Regions from separate parts of the Mus musculus genome. Here region 1 is reported to be linked to region 2. Evidence: microRNA targets listed by miRTarBase, many of them from high-throughput screens and not tested one by one. Region 2 holds a microRNA gene; the other region holds the end of a gene's coding sequence.

Evidence for each region. Region 2 holds the annotated microRNA mmu-miR-325-3p (UUUAUUGAGCACCUCCUAUCAA, at 2,781-2,802, opposite strand). A microRNA usually pairs through its seed, bases 2 to 8, with sites in the 3' UTR of a target mRNA and lowers its output. Matches are read on the target gene's strand: a 7mer-m8 pairs with bases 2 to 8, a 7mer-A1 pairs with bases 2 to 7 and ends in A, and an 8mer does both.
Region 1: the mRNA of Rinl is a reported target of mmu-miR-325-3p. Seed matches in the 3' UTR shown: 8mer at 2,426-2,433.

What each region holds. Positions count from the first base shown.
Region 1 is chr7:28,796,975-28,801,367 of GRCm38, reverse strand. Rinl (Ras and Rab interactor-like) reads right to left here. Exons shown (of 12, transcript NM_177158.5): 10 at 4,127-4,258; 11 at 3,645-3,808; 12 at 2,403-3,558. The coding sequence ends at 3,514. Among named protein-coding and RNA genes, the nearest start is that of n-TKctt24, 5.1 kb to the right of the region's middle.
Region 2 is chrX:105,376,325-105,380,717 of GRCm38, forward strand. It overlaps Mir325 (microRNA 325), which reads right to left and starts at 2,855; the gene lies at 2,758-2,855. All of the region lies in intron 4 of 5330434G04Rik (RIKEN cDNA 5330434G04 gene), which reads right to left.

The sequences.
Region 1 (4,393 bases), not on the chromosome of region 2:
AGACCAGAGAGGTCTCAAATTCACAGAGATCGACTCTGCCTTCCAAGTGCTGGCTGGGATTAAAGGCGTGTACCACCGCCTCCTGGAAACATCATTTTATTTATATTTGTGTGTTTATGTTCACACGTCCAATGGCACAGATATGAAGGTCAGAGGACCAGGAGTTGATTCTGCCCTCTTCAAACTCAAGTTGTCTGTCCACCTTGGCAGCAGAACCTGTTACTTTTTTTCTCTTTTTGGCCAGCACCACATTTAATCAATTTATGTGTTTTTCTTGCATGTGTGTGCCTGGTGCCCTTGGAGGTCAGAAGAGGGTGTTGGGCCGGGCGTGGTGGCACACACCTTTAATCCCAGCACTTGGGAGGCAGAGGCAGGCGGATTTCTGAGTTCGAGGCCTACCTCTACCTCCCAAGTGCTGGGATTTTTTTGGTCTACAAAGTGAGTTCCAGGACAGCCAGGGCTACAGAGAAACCCTGTCTCAAAAGAAGAGTGTTGGATCCCCTGGAACTGGACTTATAGAAGGTTGTAAGCTGCCATGTGGGTGCTGGGAATAGAACCTGGGTCCTCTACAAAAACACGAGTGCTCTGAACCACTGCCCCATCTCTCTAGCTCCCCTTTTTTTTTTTTTTTTTTTTTTGGACAAGAGTCTCTTGCTGAATCTAGAAGTTGCTGCTTTGGCAAGACTGGCAGGCCAGTGAGTCAGTTATAGGTACCTGCTGCCACACCAAGGACCTGAACACAGGTCCTTGTATAGTAGGCACTTAGCCCAGTGGGCCATCTCCCAAATCTACTTTGGTTTTGAAGGTAGGGTCTTCCTACAAAGCCCAGGCTGACTTAGAACTAGAAGGAATCCTCCTGCCTCTGCTTTCTAAATGCTGTGGTACATGACAGGCATGCATGTTTAGAATTTTTAAGTTTTTGGTGTGGTGGTGGTTTGAATGAGAAATGTCCCTAGAGGCTCAGGTGTTTGGACACATGGCCCCTGGCTGGTGGCACTGCTTGGGGAGGTTACAGGCCCTTGAGGAGGCAGAGCCTTATGGGGAGAAGTTTATCACTAAGGAAAGGACTCAAGGCTTCTCAACCTGCCCCCTCCCTCCTGTTCTCTGTGCTTCCTGTGAGCGGCTGAAGATGTGATCTCTTCACATCTTCTTCTGAAGATGTGTACTCTTCCTGCCATGCCTCCCCTTCCACGGCGGAGTCTTCTAGAACCTTAAACCAAAATAAACCCTTTCCTTCCCCCGGTGGCTTCTGGTCACGGTGTCATCACAGCAACAAGCCACACATACAGATGTGGCCCACGTGATTCTTCTTTGGCTGCCTCCTCTTCTGCTACGTGCCGCGCATCCCTGTCCAATCCACCTGCATGAAGCTTTCCTTGTTTTTCTATAAAATAGAAGAGGTGGGGTTGGGGGGGCCTTGGAGGGGTAGCATGTTTTTAATCCCAGCACTTGGGAGGCAGAGGTAGCCAGATCCCTGAGTTCAAAGCCAGCCTGGTCTAAGAGCAGATTCCAGGGCAGCCAGAGCTTCACCCAGTCTCAAAAAAAAAAAAAAAAGGTACATTTCCCTCACTCCCACACAACTCACACACTTCAGACACCAGATGTGTGTGGAGGTTTTCCCACACATACATCAAGAAATTCCCTTGGCCAATAAAGATGGGTGTCCTATAATTTAACCCGATCCTGACACTATCTGGAGTTAGCCTCAGATCCTACAGATAATGAGCTTGGGTCTACAGGATGCACCCAACTTCTGCTGCTTCGGGGCCGGTCTTGAGTTTCAGGTAATAAACCGTCTATCTGGCCAGTGGACTTAGTTAACTTGCTAGGATGATTCCTATAACTCAAACACTCAGATACCTTTATCAACTTACTATGCACACTCACTAACTTACGATGGTCTCACTTATATTTTAAAGATACTGTGCCTTGCCTGCAGGAATGTCTGTGTATCACATGTGTGTCTGATGCTAGTGGAAGCCAGAAGAGGGTCTCAGGTGCTTAGAACTCGAGAACTTGAGTTACAGATGGTTTGGGATTTGCCGTGTGGGTGCTGGGAAGTGAATCCTGGTTCTCTAGGTGAATAGTCAGTGCTGTTAATGAAGACAGCTCTCCAACACTGACGTACACTGGGGCATGCGTGTGTGTGTGTGTGTGTGTGTGTGTTGATGGTAATAAAAACTACAGCCTCAAGCATGCAAGGCACATACTTTACCACCAGGCCACACTCCAGCTCTTTAACAGTGGCCTCTAGGCAAGCACCGCGCTGATGAGCCATACCCACAGCCCTTTGCTGCGAATTCTAGGTAAGAGCTTCATTGCTGAGTCAGGCAGGGCCTCGGGCATCCCAGGCGGGCCTCAGTCTCCTCACATGTTGGTGGGATTACAGGTCTGCACCTCCATTGCTCGTCAGTACATTTTAAATTTTATTGATTATTATTATTATTACCACCTTGGTGTCTTAAGACGGCAGGAATTTATTTGCTCACAATTCTGGAGGTCAGAGTTCTGACATCACTAATCTCACAGAAACCAGGTTGACAGCAGGGCCCCATGACTTCTGCAGCTCTCAGAGGGGGGGTGGCAGTGGGGAGAAGCTTTCCTGGAGTAGCCCAGCATCTCCCGTCTCTCTTGTTCCCATCCGTTCGTTCTCCTTGTCTCCCGCATGGCGTGGGTGCTCCTGGAGTCACAGACACAGTCCCCGGGGCACTGTCCCTCATTTTATCATCTTCAATGATGGCTGAACGAGCTGGGTGGTGGGGGCACACACCTTTAATCCCTGATGTCTGAGTTCGAGGCCAGCCAGGTCTACACAGCAAGTTCCAGGACAGCCAGGGCTACACCGAGGAGCCCTGTCTTGAAAAACCAAAACAACAAAAATAATAATAATAGCTGCACAAACACTTTTGCCAAATACGGTCACAGAGATTAGGGCAGTGATATGTTTTCAAGGCACATAGGTGTTCCTAAACACCTACTATGTTTCAGTGCCACAGTGTCCTCATGGTCTTGGCCTCAAGTACTTTTTCCACCTCATTCTGCTGTATAGCTGGAGGCGTAAGCTCATGATGGTCCCTGTACCTCTGCCACCCTCCTAACTACATGAGCTGCAGAAGAATCCAGAATAAGCTCCCATCTCAGGTCCAGACATGCTGTCATTTTTGTAACGATCACTTGACCAAGTTAAGTGTCACAGTCACAGATAGGATCAGGATGAAGACACCTTTGGGGACGGTGCCTTTATTCTACCTGCCCCAAAGAGATTCAGGCGAGAGGGTTGTAGTTGTAGTACTGTCTGGGTGTGGGTTTTGTTTGCTGGGGAGCGCCTCGTTGAGGTAACATCTGGACAGACCCGAAGGAGGTGAATTGAGGAGGAGGAAGTAAGACATTGCAGGAGGCACGTCTCCTTTCCTGCCCTGCCCTCCATGCTGACCCAGATGCCTCCAGAATCTTGCTTAGCAGAGGAGTGGGTCAAAAGGTTCGGAAGTGACTGGGGTTTGAGAACTCCAGTTTTCATGGGTCCCCTATTGCCCATGGCTCCTCAAAAGGCTGGTTGGCCTGTGGGGAGAAATGGGAGGCTGTGTCAAAGGGGCATCAGAGACCACCGCCCCTTCCACCTGCATCTGCATAGCATAGGTGGTTACCTGGGCTGTGGGCTGGGCTTGCTGGTGCAGTGTCCGTCTTCGATGCCACTGGCGCAGGGAGGCCCGGGCCTCGGAGCTGAGCCCCTGGGGTGCACGGCCAGTGTCTGGCTGGTAGTGAGCAATGTGGTAGAGAGCCCCAAACCACGTGGTCAGATAATACCCAGCTGGGGGAGAGAAAATGAGGTCATCATAGCCCTACTGGGCTTCTCTGAGTGCCCACTCTTTTTTTTTTTTTTTTTTTTTTTGGTTTTTCGAGACAGGGTTTCTCTGTATAGCCCTGGCTGTCCTGGAGCTCACTTTGTAGACCAGGCTGGCCTCGAACTCAGAAATCCGCCTGCCTCTGCCTCCCGAGTGCTGGGATTAAAGGCGTGCGCCACCACGCCCGGCGAGTGCCCACTCTTTTTGAGGCACATGAAGCTGGGGCTCATCAAAGGCACCTGCCTTCTTCTCAGTGTCTGGGCATCTCAGAAGAGGGAGCTCACCTTCTCCTCGCAACTCCCCTGGATCCAAGAGCTCCATAAGAAACTCCACATCCAGCTGTGTTTCCCCAATATGTGGACTCCAGATCAGCTCCTCGGTCAGGGCAGGTAAAAAGGCGTCAGCCCCCAGGGGCTCTAAGGAAGCCAGAGGACGGGTCATTAGTTTGGCAGGGGTGCACACAAACATCTTCCCTTCAGGTCCCCAGGCCTGAGTGGGCGCCTGCTACCAAAGGGGGCTACCCTTTCCCTGGACGTGGGTACCCACCATTA
Region 2 (4,393 bases):
ATAAGCACTTATAGGATGTAATTGAAATGGGATATTTCTTTTAAAATAAATACCCAGCTGGCCTGAAATTCCAGCTACTAGTGAGACTAAGGCTGGAGGATCACAAGTTCAAGACTTTTTAAAACTACCCATGGTGTTCAAGTTAATGAGCTAACTGGTTTCAACAAAATGTTACTCAAGGTATTTAGATTGCAATGGCGGATAGCTTATCTGGAATGCCAAGGCCCTAGTTGCATTTCAGTGCTCCATGAGCTATCTCTCCAGGCCAGGAAAACATTTTAGAAGCTCCTTGACTCATCTTCCAAAGACAATCGATTTTCCAAGCATATTCTAGCTAATCATATGCCTTTTTGAAGGCTTCTCCCCTGCCAGATTTCCTTCACAGCAACATGTAATTTTCACAGCATGTCAGAATCACCAAAAAGCTAGACACACAGCAGTCTATTTCATATACACAGGAACCAACTCCCAGGAAGAACGCAGCAAGTGCTTTGAGGATCCAGAACAAACTTCAAAAGTATACAATCTATAGTTTATAGTCTACGTAGATAAAAAAAATAGATATTTGACACTCTTTATATCTGTATCTTCATCAGAATGGGTTACAAAGATTTGAGTTCTAGTATGATTTTGCTTTGTGAGTGTTTACTTAGTACTAAAGTGTTTTCTTAATGGTACTAAAAATGGAGCCTATGGCTTTACACATGTTAATTGAGCATTTTACCACTGAGCACCAACAATTATTATAATAATGATTTGTATATGATCTGAGGGTACTTCACAACTTTATATGTTGACATTTATTTCCCTCATAATATATTAAGAAGATATAAAACTAATTCAATGATGCTGTTTAGACGCAAGGCCTATAAGAAGTGACTAATTTTAAATAAGGCCATTATGGTGGGGCTCTCCTAGTTGAATTCTGGTATATTAAGGAAAGAGGGAAGCTACATAGTCTTACACATGCTCCTTACCCCTTGTCACATGATTCTATGTACAGCCTTGAGACCGTGGTTGCAAAGTCAAGGGACCTTGAGCTAAAGTCGTCTTTAGTTTATAAAGCATCTTTTCTCATGTATTTCATTACTCAATGGTAAATGGATTAAATATAGATACTTAGACTTTACAATGCTGTTTCTAAGTACTGAAAGAATTCATGCAAATAAATGTGTTTAAACAGAGCCTTCCATGGGATCAGACTATATATATAATAGCTACTGTCAATACTATAGCTATTGTCTGTTGTGGCTCCGGATAATGTTACTGTGAAAGAAAACATCTTAAGAGTTTCTTGAAGCTACTCCATGTTTTCTGTAATTTTTCCTCAAAGGTTTCTCCAAAGATGAGAATGTCAGCCACTACTCTTTCTCAAAAATACCACCCCCACCAATTGTTAATCAAAATTGTACCTCAAAAACTCTTTTGGACACAAGGAAAACGTGCCCTCCCTGCCTGTGATTCCTCTCACAACATTGCCCAAACAAACTGTTTCACATGTCATTATCACTACTATTCTTGTATAGATAAAGGAAAGACATGGCCCGATCAGCATGCACCACACTCTCTAGGAATTAGCCTAGAATATACTACAGCCATTCCTTTGTATGATTCAGTTTTTCTTCACTCCTAAGCTTCTCAGTGCTTCTGCAGAGTTGCATGTTACTGACTAGCCACAGACAATGCATTACCTTATTCTGATAGCTAGGCCTTTAGGCAACTGGGACTGCTGGAACAGGCTGTACAACATAGACACTGGTTGATTCCCATTGTAGCTGGAGTCTTCTGTCCCATTCCTGTAAGAATACAGTGAGGAGGAGAAGCCAAGCTCACAGGTGCTCACTTCCTGTTTCAGGTAATGGGCAGCTAGGATATTTATAGACTCCAACCAGCAAGTTTTGTCACGGGTATCTGCTTACTTTCTCCCAAACATTAATCCCCCTCAAATGATCCTGGACTCCTGGTGCAAGTCTTTGTATAATCAGATGGATTTAAACATCCATGGGAAATAACCAGAAATGCCTAACTCCTTGGTTCAACTATCATAACCTCTTCCTACACCACTTATTCACATCCTTGGTCATACTCAGAATCTTTTGTCATTCCAAACTACCACACCTATGCCATCCTCTATTTGTACACCCTACTTTCTGGCTGCTTCTGCCCCAGTAAGGCCTTTTCTTTGTTTCCATCACTTGTATTTTAGAACTGTTGGTTTCTTCTCATTTGTCAGACTCATTCAGCATAATTACCTTCTCAAACTGGCCTGGGACCTGCAATTCATTGTTGCAATCACTGCCCTTTGCTTACTCTTAACTTTCTCCATCATCTCCTGGTATCACCTGCAAGTCCACGCTCTGATGCTTCAGAAGAGTTCTTTTGGGGATCCTGGCCAGTTTCCACCCTCATCCTCTTTATAGCCTCGAACATGACTTTCCATTGCTCACTGCCTTAACCCTTGAATCTTCACCCTGACCTCTCTAATGGGAACATGATGCTCAAGTCTCTCATATTTAAGGTCAAGCTTCTCAGCCTTACCTCTCTATTTGCTGCCCCCTTCTCTCCTTTCCTTCCTAAGGTTTTGGAATAGATGGAGCATATTCACTGCCTCTTCCCACAGCATAATTTGCTTCTGTTTCCTGGGCATACCCTCTTATTCCTATCAGTATTGTTGTTATAACTAATCACTCTACTATAGCCACTACTAGCAATAAGAGCCTCAAAAGGGAGCATCTTGTCTAACTTAGCTATGTGGCCCCAGAGCCTAGCACAGTGCTTGATTGATAGGAGGTGCTCAATAAACGAATTATGTCACAAACACTTACTGAGCACCTACTAGGAACCAAGCACTATATCGGCTCTGTTAGAATCCACAACACTTGGCCCCTAGTCCATCACAAAACCCACATCCAAGAACCATTGATTTTCACAGAAACCTTCTCTCTTTGTGAATGCCCACAGCCACTGCTCTGTGCTGTACCCTCCTTACAACAGGCATTCAACTTTTTTTGAATAAGCCTGATAAAACCCAGCAGAACCCAAAAGACTTATTTGAAGATTTGCTTATATACATGGCCATGTGTATGTGTGTTATGGGATCTGATAGCTGACAGAGGGCTTTCTGACCAGCTCGAGGGCAACACATTCACTTGCAACCCTATCTTAACCCAGCTAAACTTTACTAAGCTGCTGCATGACCTCTCCCTGACCCTTTCTTAAGGTTCTCTCAACAAATCTTTGTTTCTAGGTTTTTATCCTCCACCTTCAAACCAGTGAAGAAGGTCTCTTGCTCTTCTACTTAACAGTATGAAGAAATACTAACACTAGAAGTACTGTTGACTTTAGGATCTCACTTCATCCGGTATGCTTCCCTTTGCCATATGGAAGCTACATTTGCTAACTCCACTTCATTCTGCCAGTTGGATCCTATGCCAGTGGTCAGTAAGGATAGAATGTGGTTTTAAATGGTCAGGGAAAGGGTTTGTGGACAAGATCAGGGACACTTTGTGATTATAGTTCAACATATGGAAATGTTCTGGATAAAAATGAAGGTGTGTGTGTGTGTGTGTGTGTGTGTGAGAGAGAGAGAGAGAGAGAGAGAGAGAGAGAGAGAGAGAGAGAGAGAGAGAGAGTTTTCTTGTTGGAAGCAGGCTGCAGTATATAATGCAATATCAAAAGGTACAAAACTGTCTAAGTGTTCTTCTTACTCCTACCAGGTTCTCTCCTCTCAGAGAGTGATCAATGTTTCTTCTGTGCCCTTCTAAGAATGTTGTATACATATATAAATATTGGCACACCTGTATTCTAGTCACTGACTTAGCATAGTCTAAAACACCATGAGCAGAATGAGCTGATATGCGTAGAAGTGTTAACAAAGTAGTGAATACTCTCTTTCATCCAATATACCCTACTTAAATCTCAACCACCCTTAGTAGCCATTCCCAACTTCTAATCATCAGTTTTTGGGGTATGGTCATAGCCTGTTTCATATACATTTGGTACAGCTCTATGAATTAATTTTCCCCTTATCTGTCTTTGCATTAGAGTTAGGCCAATTAATAATCCCTGCACCTCCACTGTAGCTAGTTTGAAAAATATTTTTACCTACAACTACTTCTAACCACTTCCATCATTCATTTGTAACTCTAGCTCTATCTTTCATGTCCACATCGATTCTCATGGGCAAGTCTGGGATTTGGAATGAATGCCTACCTAACGGCCTCAAGCATATTAGGTAAAATTAAATGGCCTAAGTACTATAGGAGTTCACTAGTACTTAACAAATATTTGCTTCTTTCTCATCCTCTCTCTGATCTCTCCTCCCTGTTTCACCCATTCTCCACATTACACACATATGTGATTCATCAGATGGTGTACAATTAATGAAATATTT